Oryctolagus cuniculus: one gene and its partners. The protein of the gene in region 3 binds, or shares a complex with, the protein of the main gene of each other region. Links are inferred from orthologs where the notes say so. Each region holds a gene or a part of one and is shown on either strand. Other genes may lie near its edges.

Region 1 (5,250 bases), on a different chromosome or scaffold from region 3:
GGCCCAAGTGCTTGGGCCCCTGCACCCATATGGGAGACCTGGAGGAAGCTCCTGGTTGGCTTCGGGTCGGCCAATTGGAGAGTTGACCAGCGGATGGAAGACCTCTCTCTCTCTCTTTGCCTCTCTGTAACTATTTCTCAAATATATAAAATCTTTAAAGAAAAATTAGAAAACGGTTTAATTGTGAAGTTATTTCACCACTGAAATAAATACCACAGCTCACGCTAGACCAGTTTTTCTTCAAGTATGTTGAGTAGAATCAAATAGCAGCTCCCCAGACATGACTTCCATGGTAAAATACAAGATTCTGGGTACAACAAGTTTCTTTAATGCAAAATCATTAAGAGGGTGGGGGAGTGGCACATGGCACAGCACTGAGTTTTAAAACTTAACTAACCAAATGTCATGGGACCCATTCCACTTTGAGAAACACTATTCTAGCCACTTATAAAAGATGCAGAATAAAACCAATTTCAACTAATTTCCTATCACTTAAACTGTTGAAATCTTAACTTGGTACTCATTGTTGATTTCATTAAAATTATTTGAAAAGTAGGAGAGAGGATTACAATAATAAACCTTTAGAAGAAGCAACTGTTGCTTCATAATTTAGGCAGCCTTTAGAAATAAGTTCAAACACTAAAGCGACTCCTGAGATAATTCAACGGGGAAGGGATTCTTATAAGTTTATAACCTTACATATTTATAAATCTAGTTAAAGGTTTTCCTAAGGTATCTAGCATTAGGGACAATTTAGGTCTTCAAAAATACTTGGACAGAAATCATACTCCCTATAAACCTCCCCAAACCTCAAATTAAAAAATAGTGCCAAGCAATACTGGTACAGCCTTAAACAAACATAGCCTCTGACAAGAGTTTAAGTATAAACACTATTCCATGCTACTAAGTGCTTTTAAAAGAGAAGGAGTTTTTTGGATAACCACAGCAAAATGATTTTTATTAGTTTTTTAAAGATATGTGTTCCTGAATATTAACTGTATTCCTCTTGAAAATTCTAAAGCAAATTAACTGTACTTTTAATAATGTGACGTTAAAATGAAACCCACTAATTGTATGTGCATTTTTTAAACTTCAAAAATTAACTGCATTAAAAAAATAACTTGGAGCCGGTACTGTGGCATGGTGGGTTTAGGGTGCCTGCAATGTGAGCATCCCATATGGTAGTGCAGTTTGAGTCCCTACTGCTCCTCTTCCAATCCATCTCCCTACAAATGCTCCTGGGAAGGCAACTGAAGACAAACCAAGTAACTGGGCCCCTGCCAGCCACATGAGCGGCTAGGATGAAGTTCTGGGCTCCTGGGTTCAGCCTGGCCCAAACTTGGCTGCTGCAGCCATTTGGGGAGTGAACCAGTGGATCGAAGATTATAGTCATCTGCCTTTCAAATAAATAAGATCTTCCAAAAGACAAAACCAAAAAACTTAAGTCACCTTCATAATTCAAAAACAGCTTACAGAGGTTATAATTTCATTTAAATTACGAAGACCCCTATTTATCCAGAAGTTAGTTCTTTGCAAGGCCAGCAATTCAGAGCAATCAATGTCTACCTGAAAGTCTAGATCATTATCTTGGTTACTGACAGACTCTTTCATAATTTCATGAGACTTTTCCCACCGTAACATCCTCACAAAATGCGGTCACCAGTATTAGCCAACCTAACTCAGAAGATTATGTCTATTAATACCTTCAAAAGCATTTTCTGTCTCCCAAGAACCACAACTTTAATTACCAGTTCTCAAATTTGTTTGGTACTACCAGCTAAAAAAATAAGTTAAACTCTATTTATACATTTAAAAGTATATGCTTACAAAATAAAATCTCTGGGAAAGAAAATGTCTACTTTCTCATTTAAAAAGTCAATCATGATTCTACGGTTCTAACAAACAAAACTTTTCAATTTTAGTCCTATTTATCTTTAAGAAAGAGTTCAAAGGGCTAAAGATCATTTCATTTGTATAAATTTCCCAAGAGGAGAGCCATGACATTTGCAACATAAACACGACTTTTGAACATTTCCCAAAGCATTTAAGAGTAGATAACACATTATCACCTGGATTCATAAATCTTTTGCATACATACACTGTACAAAGAAGTCTTAAGATCTTGCTCTTGTAGTTGGGAAGATCAGCTTCCAAAACACCAGCCAGACCTTCTAGGTTGCTCTCCAAAGAGCAGGCACTCTGTAGGGGCAACATAACAGCTGTCAAGTATTCAGTAATCTGAATACCAATGAAGTTTTCTATATGGTCAAGTTAAGATTTCATATGCATAAGGCACTATGACAGGTTTAGCATGAAGTGAATCAGGTATTATTCTTAAAAATCCATGAAAACAAAAAAAAAATAAATAAAATAAAAAAATAAGCAGCCTGCTATGGCTTGGAAACAGTTTCTTCCCCCGAGGTGCACTGCTCAAAGCTTGGTCATAAGGTAGCGCTAATGGCAGGTCATTAGGTCACAGGGGCTCCATCCTCAGGACTGGATTAGCGCAGGCGGGTACTGTGGCATGGGCTGGCTCTCACAGGAATAGGTTAGTATAAAAGAGCAAGCAGGCCTCTCCCCAGCTCTAGCTTCTCCACTCAACACTCACGTCCCTTCTGCACACAGACATCCCCCTTCCCACTTCTCCAGCACGTTGTGATACAGCCAGGGGGGCATGGAGGAATGCCAGGGTCACGCTGCTTGGACAAGCCAGCCACCACTACACAGAACCAGACAAATCTTCCCTTTCCAAGTCCTCAGCCTCGGCATTTACAGCAATACAAAACGGACAAAGACACAGTGAAGACGGCAAAGTATCAAAAATAGAAGGCCACCATGCGCTGTTGCATCTCTCTTAATGCACCTTCTGACCCTGAACAAACTACCTGACACATCGGGGTGTGGCTCAGTTCATTTATAATTGAGAGCACCACTGTCTAGGCCCCTTCTAAGACTTCTCTAACAATTACCACTAAAAACTCTCAATTATCTGCATCCCAGGGGCTTCAACCTGCATCAACTTTGGAACAGAAGCATGGTCACACAAATTAACCATTTGGTACGTACCTTTTCTCCTACTTTGCATATTAAAGACTCCAAATGATCTTCAGTTTCATTTGCATCAGTCTTTCTCCTTTTGTGAGGCTGTCCACCTATTTCAGTAACAAAAAAATTAACATCTCATGATGAATCTGCTATCATAAATTTATTTATAGATTATAATCTTTTCTGTGGGACTGTTTTTCACTTAGAGCAGAAGAACATCTTAACTGATACTCCATTTCTCAGACTAGGCTGGATCAACCTACAGTCTCCATTCTCAGGGTCACTACATACAGTAACTCTAAGAGGCGCTATGTATGGTAAATTTTTTGTGAATAGTGCTCATGGAGCTATGCAATCTAGCTGTCCTGACTGGTCCTGTGGGCACAACTGGTTCAACAGATCACACAGCACCACTGTTCAGATTACCCCACACAACAGGAACTATTACCAACATACATACAAAGCCCCAAGCACTGTTGCTAATAACTGCTAGGAAAATGTATCATTTGCTCATATTCATGTAAATGATTCCTTGCTTGAATGGCTATTAACTGAATAATTATTGATACTAATTCACTCAAAAACCATCCTAGGATAGGTGGTTAGCCTTGGCTCAGCCCCATCAATTGCAGGCATCTGGAGGGCTAGCCAACAGATGGAAGCATTCTCTTTTTCCCCCTTATCTTTCCCCTGTTTTTCAAGTTATTTAAAAAACAAATCCAAGATTACTTTTAAAAATCTACCACTCTGAAACCATTATCAATCACCTTGACTGCTAAAGAATTCAAGTTGAGCCGGCGCTGAGGCTCACTAGGCTAATCCTCCACCTAGCGGCGCCAGCACACCAGGTTCCAGTCCCGGTCGGGGCGCCAGATTCTGTCCCAGTTGCCCCTCTTCCAGGCCAGCTCTGTTGTGGCCCGGGAGTGCAGTGGAGGATGGCCCAAGTGCTTGGGCCCTGCACCCCATGGGAGACAGGAGAAGCACCTGGCTCCACCCTTCGGATCAGCGTGGTGCACTGGCCGCAGCACGCCAGCCGTGGCGGCCATTGGAGAGTGAACCAACGGCAAAGGAAGACCTTTCTCTCTCTCTCTCTCTCTCTATATCCACTCTGCCTGTCCAAAAAAAAAAAAAAAAAGAATTCAAGTTGAAAGAAGACGTGCTACAAATCAGCCTCAAGCTCTGGACTATATATTGTTCATATTCTCACTGCTGATCATCTCTTATTTTGTTAACACATCCATCTTAAGTCCTTTTGTGGTGTAAAACAGCTTAAAATTTAAGATGATGTTATTAAGTATGGACCATGATGCTATTATTACACGATATTGGCTAATTTCCTAATATAATTCAATTTTTGGCTTCCAACAATTAAATGATTAGCACTGCATGCCTGTGGACAGAGGCAGCAGTATGCACATGTGTTGGAATCTGTACTAATAATAATGAAAATTTGCACTTGGAGATAGGACTGTGTAGTGGCAAATTATAAATAACTTTCAATCTTCTTCAGAACTAATAGCCAATCTGAGTTATTCTTTCCACAGAGTTGATGATTATTTACTCTCTCTGAACACTTGGCTTTAAATTACAGTGATCCTCACGAACACAGCACCAGGCTATTCTAAATTTGCAGAGTTCACGCCTCTCCAATGACTGAAATGATTTTCAGATACCACACAAAGTAAAGCTGAACAAAATCAATTTTTCTATCTAAAGACCAGAGAAGTATTATAAAAAAGTTACTGGCCCAATCCCTTATTTACCATTTTCATTTGACTTAGAATACAATTTTGAAGATAATGCCACAAGAAGTGCAGCGCGCATGCAGTATGACAATGAGATAAATTCCTAGTGATATCTGCAGTGGACACATGTGGCATGGTGGGACAGTGACCTTGATTTTTAAGTTGCAGAAGCTATTAAAGTTCTACCATTCTTCCATACAAAGGTTTTTTTATTTCCAGAACTCATTCATTCACTGGGAAAAACCCTCACATCTGATGCAATGTTTATATAAGCAATCAGCCAGGACACTAAAATAGTTTTCCTCAGGGCTAGCACTGTGGCATAGCAGATAAAGCTGCCACCTGCAGTGCAGGCATCCCATGTGGGTGCCAGTTCGAGTCCCAGCTGTTCCACTTCCAATCCAGCTCCCTGCTAATGCACCTGGGAAAGCAGAAGATGGCTCAAGTCCTTGAGCCCCTG
Region 2 (5,740 bases), on a different chromosome or scaffold from region 3:
GTGCCCACCCGCTACACACTCCTCTTCACCCACACCTACATGCCCCCCCAACACCTCCTCCACCTCCCAAGCCTGGGCTCTCCCGTGAAGGTGGTAGACATGGGTGGGACTGAGGACTGGGTCCTATGCCAAGCCCTCAACAATCTTACCAGACAACCAGCCTGCCAAGGGGCCGGGGGACCGTGGCTCTGCCGCCTCTTTGTGGTGACCCCTGGCACCACAAGGCGTGCTGTGGAGAAGTGCAGCTTCCCCCTCAAGAATGAGACACTCATATTTCCCCACTTGACCCTGGAGGATCCACCAGCCCTGTCTTCCCTGCTGAGCGGGGCCTGGAGGGACCACCTCAGTCTCCACATCATGGAGCTGGGAGAGAAGCCTGACAACACAGCAGAGCAGCCACTGCCCAGGATTCGGCCATAAAAGGAGCCACCATACCTTCCACATGGGTAGCTGGGCTGGGCTGCTAGTCCACAGGTCTCTTTCAGGATTTCCACCGCTGCCTCTCTAAGGCACAGCTGTTGGGTGTGCGGCCTTCTTGGTGAGCTGGCACTTCTCTCTCGGAGAACAAAGACCTGATGAGTCATGGTCCTGGTGTCAAGGTCTCCAAAGGATCCTGATGTGAATATGGCACCCGCTGTCTGCACCTGCCCTAGTCCTTCGGGCCACCATGATGTTTTAAATACGTAATAGTGCCTGGTTGTGAAGACAGGAACTACTAATGACAGATAGCTCTTTGGCTTCCTAAGTCAATCTGGCCTGTCGGATCCCAGGAGGGCAATGTGGTGACACAGAGAACAGGAGGCTCGGACTCAGGGGCGCCCTCTAGTCCCAGACCTGCCACTCACAGACCGTGTGACCTTGACAAAGCCCCTTTGGCTCAGAACACAGGAGGCCAGAGAATCTCTGCAGAATGTGTCAGCTAATTTTGTCATTCCTGGACTCCACAGCACACGTCCCCTGGCTTAATAGGCATCTCTCCCACAAAGCCCTTTAAGAATGCAAGTGGGAGTGGCAATGCATCTAATGGCACCTTGGTACCTGCTGTCTCTGTGTTCGGTTATTATCCAAACGAGTTATTCTGGAAGTTTTCTCCCCTCTCCTACTCCTGTTCCTAAGCCCTCCGGCCATTGCTGCACCTTGCCCTGCAGGCTCACTCTCGAAGAGGAGGGAGCCCAGGTGTTCTCCCACCTCAGCGATGTCACTCAGGTCCTTCCAACCTGCCCCGTGGGAACACAGTTGGAATCTATGATGCTTGGTCAGTACCGGTTACATTTAAAGGCTTCACGCTTCCTAGACGGAATGATTAATTGTGTAGCCTAAGTAGAGCCCATCAGACACCCAATCAAGAGCCGGAAATGACAGGGCACTTCTGTACACAATTTGCATCCTAATTGTAGGTCCGTTAGCTGGACCAGTGGTTTGTATCCCAGACCCACAAAAGTGAACAGGAATCCCGGTAGTCTTAATGCCTGGTGGTGACGGCGGTGGAGGAAGACAGGCACTGGGGCAGGGTAGATGCTGTGGAGAGTGGTGATTACGGATTTAGGCCCCGGAGTCAAATGCCTGTACTCACATTCCGCTCTGTAAGGCTCTGGGCAACGTAAGAAGTAATATCCACTTCCTCCCACGAACGCGCTGTAAAGAGTTAAGTGTGATAACCCACACTGAGAGCAATTAGCAAGCGCCAGCCCAGAATAAGCACTCACTGTGTGTGCCGGCCTACAGCGCCCAGGCCTCCCAATCCACCTGGTCTGAGAAGCACCACACTCACGCCGGTTAATCAGCTCACGCATTTAATCAGAGGATTTCGGCAGCTGCAGGGCCGTGTTTCCATCCATGATCTTCCCCGCATATCTAGCCCGAGTTCTTGTCCCATTTGTAGAGGGCAGGCTCCCTTTCTGGCTGCGTCCCGGGGCAGCCCCTCAGGCTTCGGGGTCTTTGGCCACACGGAGCTCTGCCCGTCACAGGGCTTCAACGAGGAGGTCCGTTCGGCCTGGGCTCTTCGTAGTGGGACGTCTGCAGGCCGGAAATCTGAGTCAGGGTTTCGAAGCTGTGCCCAGTTCCCGGGATGACTCCTCAGCGCCGAAGCCACTGTACAGTCCCGAAGCGAAAGTAGGCGACCTCGGCCCGGGCTCAAGGGTTTGCGCCTGGACCCCTCTGGCTCCCCGGTGGTGTCCCCGGGCGATCCCGGAGGCCACGGCGTAGTTCCTGTGTGAAGGCGTCTCGGAATCGCGCGGCGCGACGACCCAGCGAGCCGGCGGGCCCCGCCGCGAGGCCCCGCAGACGGCGGGCCGCGTCCTGGCCGCGCAGCTGGGCCTGCAGCAGCGCGAAGGCCGTAAGCTGCGCCGCACGCCGGATGGGCCGAGACTCGGCCAGCCGCTCCACCAGCTGCGGGCTGTGCAGCAACACAGCCAGCAGCCGCCGAAGAACCATCCTCGTGAGAGCGTCCCGGAACCAAGAGCACGCCTCCCTCGTCCCCGGACCGGCGGCGCTGGGCCGCGGACTGTGTCCGCCTCCGCGCCGTCTGATGACGACACTGCCGCGCTCGGATTGGTCTGGAGACTCCCACTGTGCGCCGCGTCCGCGCGTTTCCGTTTCCGCCGCCGCCGCTGCTGCCGCGCCGCCGCCCCAGTCCGGTTGTTCTCGGGAGTCGGCGCGTCGTTGTGCAGCTGTGTGAGCTATGTCGGGAGGCCTTCTGAAGGCGCTGCGCAGTGACTCCTACGTGGAGCTGAGCCAGTACCGGGACCAGCACTTCCGGGTGAGGGAGCCCGGGCCGCGCGACGGGCAGACCCTTGAGCCAGGACGCTGAGAAACGGTTTGCTCTTGCACATTTCTGCTGCCCCGAAACGGGCCATGGGTCCCCGGTGCCTGCTGGGGAGGCAGCGATGTTGGAGGGGACCCCACTCTGTTTCCGAGAGAGAGAGTTTGAGATTCGCTTTCCCGTTGCCTTGCAGCCGCTCCTCGTGCGCGGCCGGCGCAGAGGGCTCGAGCGGCGTCGTCAGCGCTGGCTGCTGTTCCTGCAGGCCGTGCGTCGGGAAAGTGACTTGTGATGAGGGGAGAGACTTTTTCATTGCTGGAGCGTGTGGAGGCGCCTTTCTGACACACATACCGTCCCCCGTCGGTCCCCCCCCCCCCCCGGTCTTAAATAATCGGCCAGTGTTCTTTGACGCTTCGGATCCTTTTTAAAATTTTTTGTTAGTGGCTCTAACTGGTGGGTGGGCGACACAAAATTGAGTCCTGTCTCTAACGTCGGGGAGAGTTCGGAGTGGGGTGGCAGATCGACCACCTAGAGGATGCCCGCGTGTTTAGATGGAAGAATGCTGGATTTCAGAAGGGGGGTTTTAGGCTGTATTACAACATACTTTGGGGAAAGGGGGCAGCTGCAGATACTTAGAGATGGGCTTTCCCGGTGACAGCGGGGATGGCCAGAGGTTGCGGCAGAGCAGCACTCATAACCTAATTACTAGGGAAACTATTGAACACCGTGTCGCAGTGTTTCGTGTTCCGTTAGGCGAGCTGGGGAGTGGGGGAGGCTGTTGCAGGCATTTGGGGAGTGAACCAGACTGCTTCTTTAAAAATCAGTGTATATTATTACATAGTCCAATTGGTTTCCTATTTGAGAAATTGGTTCACTCCCCAAATGCCTGGGAGACAGGAACTCAGTGACTTGAGGCCTCACCCATTGCTTCCAAGGGTGAGTATTAGCAGGAAGCCGGAATCAGAAGCGTAGCTAGGGCTTGAGCCCAGGCAGTCTGACCAGGATGTGGGTGTCCTAACTGCTGTGCCAAACACCAGCCCTCAGTTTTCTTGTGGTGTGAGTTTAGATGGTTTCGCTATTTCTCTAATTACCACTGAATGCGATCACATAAAACTGTTGTTCTAAGTAATGCGCTATAGAGCATTCAGGGACAGCTTATGCAGAGTGATTCTTGGAGTGAAGAGAACTGATCAGCACTACATGTAGAGCAGTGACTGAAGAAGTGAGGGCCACTGGAACAGTGCCCTGTGCGTGCTGGTGTGGATCTACTCATGGCCCTACAAGCTGGAATGCCACTGGTGTGGTTATCTTGGACTCTTAAGCTAGATCAGAGCGGCGGGAGAGTAAGTCAGCTGATGGGCCTCATATTTAATCACATGTATCCTTCCCAGTATGGAGGCTAGAAGGTCCAAAACAGCCATATATGGGTTTCTTTCTTAAAAAAAAAAAAAAAAGATTTATTTGAGAGGGAGAGATAGAGAAAAAGGTCTTCCATCCGCTGGTTCACTTTCCAAATAGTCGCAACAGCTGGAGCACAGCTGATCCTTCCTCCAGGTCTCCCACGGGGGTGCAGGGGCCCAAGCACGCAGGCTGTCTTCTGTAGCTTTCCCAAGCCATTAGCCAAGACCTGGATTGGAAGAGGAGCAGCTGGGATACAAACCAGCGCCCTTATGGGATGCCAGCACTGTAGGTGGAGACAGCCTATTACACCACAATGCCAGCACCCAAGATACTGGTTTCTGTGAAGGCATCATGTCTAGTCCATGATGAGCCATCTTGTCCCCAGGGATTGTCAGGTGTCTTGGTTAAAGCCAATTATATATTCCTGTCTCTGGTTTATCTTCCAAGTCAGGAACCTCACTAAGAAGATCTTTTTAGTCATCATTATCTTTTTTCCTGAACTCTGACCTTGTAAGTCATCTAAGCCATTGTTGCTTTGACAGTTTTATAAGGGAAACTTGATCTTTGAAAATCCATTTTTCTCTACAGAGAGAAGGGCCCTTCCTTATATACTGGGATTTTTCTTTTTTTTAAGATTTATTTATTTACTTGAAGAGTTACAGAGAGGCAGAGAGAGAGAGGTCTTCCATCCGCTGGTTCACTCCCCAGATGGAAGCACAGCTGGAGCTGCACCAATCCAAAGCCAGGAGCTTCATCCAGGTCTCCCACATGGGTGCAGGGGCCCAAGAACTTGAGCCACCTTCTACTGCTTTCCCAGGCCACAGCAGAGAGCTGAATTGGAAGTGAAGCAGCCAGGACTCGAACCAGTACCCATATGGGATGCTGGCACTGCAGGCAGCAGCTTTACCCACTACGCCACAGGACTGGCCCCTATACTGGAATTTAAACTTGGGCCATTAGAGAAAGATCCAATGCTGAGTATATGGAGTGTGAAAGAAAAAGGCACACTGCTTGTCTGGCAGTCTAATGCAGGAATGGAAAGGTGGCATGCACAGTGTCATTATTGTGAGCCTAACCCTCCCCTCCTGGACCTTGCTTAAGTGCTTTACAGAATTTGAATTCCCCCTCTTATTGGCAAGTTTTTGTGGTGGATTGGAATGATAAGGGAATTTTATTTCCAAATCAGAACTAATGTTTTATTGTACTTGGAGATACTATTTAAGCAAGGCTCTCTTTAAGTAAGTTGTATTGTTTAACTCTGTCTCTATTTGAAATTCTAGGGTGACAATGAAGAACAAGAAAAATTACTGAAGAAAAGCTGTACATTATATGTTGGAAATCTTTCCTTTTACACAACTGAAGAACAAATTTATGAACTCTTCAGTAAAAGTGGTGACATAAAGAAAATTATTATGGGTCTGGATAAAGTGAAAAAAACAGCATGTGGATTTTGTTTTGTGGAGTATCCTTCCTGTGTTATCTAATGTAGCTGTTGAACTAGGATAGAGCCGAGAGTGGCTGGCTGCCTGTTATTTAAAAACTGAGGGGGCAGGCACTTGATGCAGCAGTTAAAGCCCCTGC
Region 3 (5,250 bases):
CCTCGCTGGTAGCGGGCCGTTGTCATTCCTGATCCTCAGGACCCTGTGTGGCTGTGGCGTCCTCCCAAAAGCGACGAGTGAATCCAGCGAGAAAAGCAAAGATCTCAGGGTCGTTTGAGAGAAAAAGATTTTATTTTTTTTCCTTTTTTTGTGGATGTTTTAATTTTAATCAACCATCTTTTCCCCCCTTCCTGCTCCTCCTCCTCCTCATCCTCTTTCTGCTCCTCCTCCTTGAAAAGAGCCAGAACTGGGAACCACACCCGCTCATCGTCGGAGCTCGGAGCAAACCCACCTCCACCCCCACCATACCCAGCCCATACATGAGCCCCTGGGCTGAGCCGCGCTGCCCCGGCCAGGCAGACAGGCAGGGCTCCGCTGTGCACAATGCAGCGCGTTAGCTGAATGTGATCGCTCAGGCAGCCAGTCAGGCAGGGCCCCCCCCCGCGGAGTCCCGCAGGGGGGGCATCCGGGCCGGGCGCCCCAGCCAGGAGCCAGCCGGTGCCCGCCAGCCAGCATGGGCCCTGGGCACCGCTAGTTAAATCTTGAGCTCTGTTTGACCAAGCAGCCAAGGTAAAGATCGTGGAGGCGACGCCTGCGGCTTTCTCTCCTCCCACGGCCTCGTGCTTCTGTTCTGTCCGCTGTCCCTTTCTCTGACTGCCCGGCCGCCTGTGTCCTTGTCTCAGTCTCTCACTTCCTTTCATCCTCTCTGTCCCTGTTCTCGCTGCCTGCCTAACACTCACTTCTCTTCTGTCCCCCGTTTGTCTGTCTTCCGTTGCCTTTGTTTCCTATCTCTGACACTTTCTTCCTCCTTCCCACTCCTGCTCTCTCTGGTCCCCCGTCCTGTTGGGAATGTTTTATTTCTCGTGCTCCGGCCCTCCTCTCTCTCCCGTGGGCAGCACCTGTGGCTCTGAGGGCGCACCAGTCTCCCCCGCTGGTCTGCCCTGTCCCTTCTCCATCTTGCTTATCTTCCCCAGGGGGAGAGAGCTGTCCTGCCTTTTGGCTTTTCCTATCTGGTGCACTTGAGGTTTCCTTCTGTCTTCCACCTAGGGGTGGAGGGAGTTGGTGGGTGCAGCTCTTTGAACCACAGTAGTGTGGGGTTGGCAAGGAGAGGGAGGTTCCTCGGGGCCTGCTGTTGCCGTAGTCTTCCTGTCCGTAGCTTTGGGAAACGACCCTAAACGTTAAGTTAGTGTTTCCCGGAGACAGCGCGATAATTCTGCCGGTGCAGCCCTGGGCGCCCCGTAGCCACTGTCTGCCAGTCCAGAGCTCTCGGTTCCTGCCTCCCCAGTCTGCAGAGCACAGCCCCGGTTCCCCTGGGGTGATGACATTGCTGGGTATGAGAGGATGGGGGCTATGCCCTGGCTGGCCTGGGCCCCTCCCCACATCCAGGCCGTGGCCTCTGCTGACTGTCACCGCCCTCCTGCCCCGCCCCCAGGTTTCGCTCTAAGTACCACCCAGACGAGGTGGGGAAGCGTCGGCAGGAGGCCCGGGGGGCCCTGCAGAACAGGCTGAGGGTGTTCCTGTCCCTCATGGAGAGTGGCTGGTTCGATCACCTCCTCCTGGACATCGACAAGGCTGACGCCATCGTCAAGATGCTAGACGCAGGTGTGTGGTTCGGCGGGGGTTGTCTGGTGGGCAGCGTCTCGGGTGGGAAGCGGAAGCCGGGGCCTTTGGGCTATGGGCTGTGACCTCTGCTTTGTTGGTAGCTGTGATAAAAATGGAAGGCGGCACAGAGAACGACCTGCGCATCCTGGAGCAGGAGGAGGAGGAGGAGCAGGCGGCAAAGGCCGGGGAGGCCGGCAAGAAGGAAGAGGGCCGGGCCGCGCCGGGCCCCGGGGACGGAGAGCGCAAGGCCGGGGACAAGGACGACAGGAAGGAGGACGGCAAGCAGGTGCGAGTGGCGTGCCTCCCGGGGGCGGGGGCGGTGACCCTGTGGCTCCACTGTGGAGGGGACATGGACAGCCTCGTCTCTTCCCTAGGCGGAAAATGACAGCTCCAATGATGACAAAGCGCAGAAACCTGAGGGTGACGGAGACAAGGACGAGAAGAAAGAAGACTTGGAGAAGGACGCCAAGAAGGTGAGGCGGGTGCTGGCTGTGGCGGGGGGGGGGGGGGGGGCAGCGCGCAGGGCGAGGCCCGGCCCCTGACGCGCCCCGGGCCGTGGCTCCCACAGAGCAAGAAGCGGAGCCGCAAGCACAGCGGGGATGACAGCCTGGACGAAGGCAGTGCGTCCGAGTCGGAGTCGGAGTCCGAGAGCGGCCAGGCCGACGAGGAGAAGGAGGAGGCGGGTAGGCTTCGTCTTCCGCTTCCGGTCCCCTCTGCCGCCCACTGGGGAGGGGCGAGGTGGTGGAGTCCACGGGAGGGTGCAGCAGGCCGGGGGGGGGTGGGTGGGTGGGCAGGAACGGCTCCGTCCTCCGCTATGAGCGCCCACGAGCCTTTGCCTTCCTGCATAGAAGAAGCCCTTAAGGACAAGGAGAAGCCGAAGGAGGAGGAGCGGGAGAAGCCGAAGGAGGCCGCAGGGCTGGAGTGCAAGCCGCGGCCCCTGCACAAGACCTGCTCCCTCTTCATGCGCAACATCGCCCCCAACATCTCCCGGGCCGAGATCATCTCTGTGAGTGGGGGGGAGGGGCCGATGGCGCGGGGCGTCCCAGGCCCTCACGTGCAGCCTGACGCCCTCTGGGAGGGGGCACAGAGGACAGGGGGGTGGAGGAGGAAAGGAGTCCGCCAGTCACCCAAGGGGTCTCTGTCGCTCTGCTTCTCGCAGCTTTGTAAAAGATACCCCGGCTTTATGCGTGTGGCCCTGTCGGAGCCCCAGCCTGAGCGGAGGTGAGAGAGGGGACACGCTGGGGCGGCCTCGGGGCCAGCGCCGCCTCCACCCCAGTACTGTGCTGATGGTTTCCTCCTGGGTAGGTTTTTCCGCCGTGGCTGGGTGACATTTGACCGCAGCGTTAACATCAAGGAGATCTGTTGGAACCTGCAGAATATCCGAGTGAGTGCCAGCAGGTGGCACTGCTGGGGAGGGGCGGGGGGCGGGGAGTGCCTCTCTGTGCCCCTCCGCGGCTTCCTGCTCGTCTGTGCGTTCCGCTGGGCTCTGGGGCTGTTGCCATGGGCGAGTCTGACCCGCCTAAGCGGGCCGTCTCGGCACTGGCGCTCAGCAGGGCCCGTGTGTCCTTGCAGCTCCGGGAGTGCGAGCTGAGCCCTGGCGTGAACAGAGACCTGACCCGGCGTGTCCGCAACATCAACGGCATCACACAGCACAAGCAGATAGTGCGCAACGACATCAAGCTGGCCGCCAAGCTGATCCACACGCTGGACGACAGGACCCAGCTCTGGGCCGCGGAGCCTGGGACGGCCCCTGTGCCCGCAGTCAGTGACACCCCGTGGGGCTCTCTCGAAAGTCAGCTGCTGAGGGCTGCTCTGTAGGACTGGCCCTTGGACCCCGGCCCCCACTGTCTGGGTAGCAGCCCCCGCCCCGCCCCCCAGCTTCCTGTAGAGCAGGCTGATTGTAGTGCAGGTTGAGGACAAGGGTGGCAGCTGGAGCCGGTGAGCCTGGCCACCCCAGGGCCGCCCCAGGCTCACCTGCCCCTCCCCCCTCCCCGCCAGAGCCTGCCCTCCCAAAACCCCATCTTGAAGAACATCACCGACTACCTGATTGAGGAAGTGAGTGCAGAGGAAGAGGAGCTGCTGGGGAGCAGCGGGGGGCCCCCTCCGGAGGAGCCCCCTAAGGAAGGGAACCCGGCGGAGATCAGCGTGGAGCGCGATGAGAAGCTGATCAAGGTGCCAGCCAGCCGCAGTGGGCGTGGGGCACGGAGGGCGCGGCCCGGGGGCCCCGGGCGGGCGTGGGGAGCCGACGACCTCTCTTCCCTTAGGTTTTGGACAAGCTGCTCCTCTACTTGCGCATCGTGCACTCCCTGGATTATTACAACACTTGCGAGTACCCCAATGAGGACGAGATGCCCAACCGCTGTGGCATCATCCACGTGCGGGGGCCCATGCCACCCAACCGCATCAGTCACGGGGAAGGTGAGCCCCTGCGAGTCCCCCCCACCCACCCCCCCCCGTCCTGGCGCCTGGCGCCCTTCCCAGCCTGTGCTCCTGTCCCTGGCCCAGTGCTGGAGTGGCAGAAGACGTTCGAGGAGAAGCTGACCCCGCTGCTGAGCGTGCGCGAGTCTCTGTCCGAGGAGGAGGCCCAGAAGATGGGCCGCAAGGACCCCGAGCAAGAAGTGGAGAAGTTCGTCACGTCCAACACCCAGGAGCTGGGCAAGGATAAGTGGCTGTGTCCTCTGAGTGGCAAGAAGTTCAAGGTCTGGGGTTTGGGGAGCTGGCGCGCTGGCCGGTGGAGGGGGGGGGGGCGGGCAGACAGAGCGCCCCCTGCGGGCTGGGGCGGGCTGCCGCGGGGACCTGGCCAGCAGCCAGGCTGGAGGGGGGCTGTTCCTCCGGGTGGGTCTGGGACTGAGGGAACCCCCACTACCGTGTCCCGACCTCCTCCCCAGGGCCCCGAGTTTGTGCGCAAACACATCTTCAACAAGCACGCGGAGAAGATCGAGGAGGTCAAGAAGGAGGTGGCGTTCTTCAACAACTTCCTCACCGACGCCAAGCGCCCCGCTCTGCCCGAGATCAAGCCCGCTCAGCCGCCCGGCCCCGCCCAGAGTAAGATACGATCCGTGAGGGTCTGCCGCGGGGGTCCTCCCAGCTGTCCAGGGCCTTGGTTCTCCTTAACCTTCATCCCCTGAGACACCCCCCCCCCGCAGTAATTCATGTTCCTGTCCGTGTTGTACTCCCCCCAGGCCTGACGCCGGGACTGCCCTACCCGCACCAGACCCCCCAGGGCCTGCTGCCCTATGGTCAGCCCCGGCCCCCCATCCTGGGCTATGGCGGTAAGTGCCGGAGGGCAAGTGCCGGCGGGCGGCGCGGCCCGGTGGTCGGGAGCGTGGAGGGCAGGCTGACGTCTCAGCGTCTCTCCACAGCTGGTGCTGTCCGCCCTGCAGTCCCCACCGGGGGCCCTCCGTACCCCCACGCCCCATACGGTGCTGGCCGAGGGAACTATGACGCCTTCCGCGGCCAGGGAGGCTACCCCGGGAAACCCCGAAACAGGTGAGCCGAGTGGGTGTGGCTGCCCGGACTCCCGTCGGGGCCAGCCCGCCTCATCTAGTCTCTCCTCCAGGATGGTGCGCGGAGACCCAAGGGCCATCGTGGAGTACCGCGACCTGGACGCCCCCGATGACGTGGATTTCTTCTGAGCTGCCCGCCCGC

The links.
Region 1: the proteins of SRRT (region 3) and NCBP1 are in contact, whole or in part, in a cryo-EM structure (PDB 8PMP), measured with the Homo sapiens proteins. The link is inferred for Oryctolagus cuniculus from reciprocal best matches to the Homo sapiens genes SRRT and NCBP1. Residues at the interface, in NP_056992.4 of Homo sapiens: Asp857, Pro858, Arg859, Val862, Glu863, Tyr864, Arg865, Asp866, Leu867, Asp868, Ala869, Asp872, Asp874, Phe875, Phe876; in NP_002477.1 of Homo sapiens: Tyr461, Gln463, Lys511, Lys557, Ser558, Ser560, His561, Ser564, Ala567, Lys568, His570, Lys607, Ile609, Arg610, Thr611, Gln612, Met648, His651, Glu705.
Region 2: the proteins of SRRT (region 3) and NCBP2 are in contact, whole or in part, in a cryo-EM structure (PDB 8PMP), measured with the Homo sapiens proteins. The link is inferred for Oryctolagus cuniculus from reciprocal best matches to the Homo sapiens genes SRRT and NCBP2. Residues at the interface, in NP_056992.4 of Homo sapiens: Asp857, Arg859, Ala860, Ile861, Val862, Glu863, Tyr864, Arg865, Ala869, Asp874; in NP_031388.2 of Homo sapiens: Ser48, Phe49, Tyr50, Thr51, Thr52, Glu53, Gln55, Lys67, Met71, Leu73, Met76, Lys77, Lys78, Thr79, Ala80, Tyr89, Asp107, Glu121.

The regions. Positions count from the first base shown.
Region 1 is NC_091432.1:201,437,453-201,442,702, reverse strand, and holds part of NCBP1 (nuclear cap-binding protein subunit 1), read right to left. Parts: intron 3,153-5,250; coding exon 3,067-3,152; intron 2,200-3,066; coding exon 2,099-2,199; exon of another isoform or gene 2,093-2,098; coding exon of another isoform or gene 2,070-2,092; intron 1-2,069. UniProt on the Homo sapiens protein: Component of the cap-binding complex (CBC), which binds cotranscriptionally to the 5'-cap of pre-mRNAs and is involved in various processes such as pre-mRNA splicing, translation regulation, nonsense-mediated mRNA decay, RNA-mediated gene silencing (RNAi) by microRNAs (miRNAs) and mRNA export.
Region 2 is NC_091435.1:83,417,996-83,423,735, reverse strand, and holds the start of NCBP2 (nuclear cap-binding protein subunit 2), read left to right. Parts: upstream 1-2,554; 5' UTR 2,555-2,680; coding exon 2,681-2,758; intron 2,759-4,776; exon of another isoform or gene 4,777-5,439; coding exon 5,440-5,621; exon of another isoform or gene 5,622-5,740. Other genes in the region: PIGZ (GPI mannosyltransferase 4), read left to right, coding at 1-420; protein NCBP2AS2, read right to left, coding at 2,134-2,433. UniProt on the Homo sapiens protein: Component of the cap-binding complex (CBC), which binds co-transcriptionally to the 5' cap of pre-mRNAs and is involved in various processes such as pre-mRNA splicing, translation regulation, nonsense-mediated mRNA decay, RNA-mediated gene silencing (RNAi) by microRNAs (miRNAs) and mRNA export.
Region 3 is NC_091450.1:43,019,863-43,025,112, forward strand, and holds part of SRRT (serrate RNA effector molecule homolog), read left to right. Parts: intron 1-113; exon of another isoform or gene 114-1,432; coding exon 1,433-1,602; exon of another isoform or gene 1,603-1,703; coding exon 1,704-1,888; exon of another isoform or gene 1,889-1,976; coding exon 1,977-2,075; exon of another isoform or gene 2,076-2,170; coding exon 2,171-2,285; exon of another isoform or gene 2,286-2,450; coding exon 2,451-2,608; exon of another isoform or gene 2,609-2,761; coding exon 2,762-2,823; exon of another isoform or gene 2,824-2,907; coding exon 2,908-2,986; exon of another isoform or gene 2,987-3,174; coding exon 3,175-3,363; exon of another isoform or gene 3,364-3,600; coding exon 3,601-3,774; exon of another isoform or gene 3,775-3,866; coding exon 3,867-4,020; exon of another isoform or gene 4,021-4,107; coding exon 4,108-4,301; exon of another isoform or gene 4,302-4,490; coding exon 4,491-4,647; exon of another isoform or gene 4,648-4,772; coding exon 4,773-4,874; exon of another isoform or gene 4,875-4,964; coding exon 4,965-5,091; exon of another isoform or gene 5,092-5,149; coding exon 5,150-5,237; 3' UTR 5,238-5,250. UniProt on the Homo sapiens protein: Acts as a mediator between the cap-binding complex (CBC) and the primary microRNAs (miRNAs) processing machinery during cell proliferation.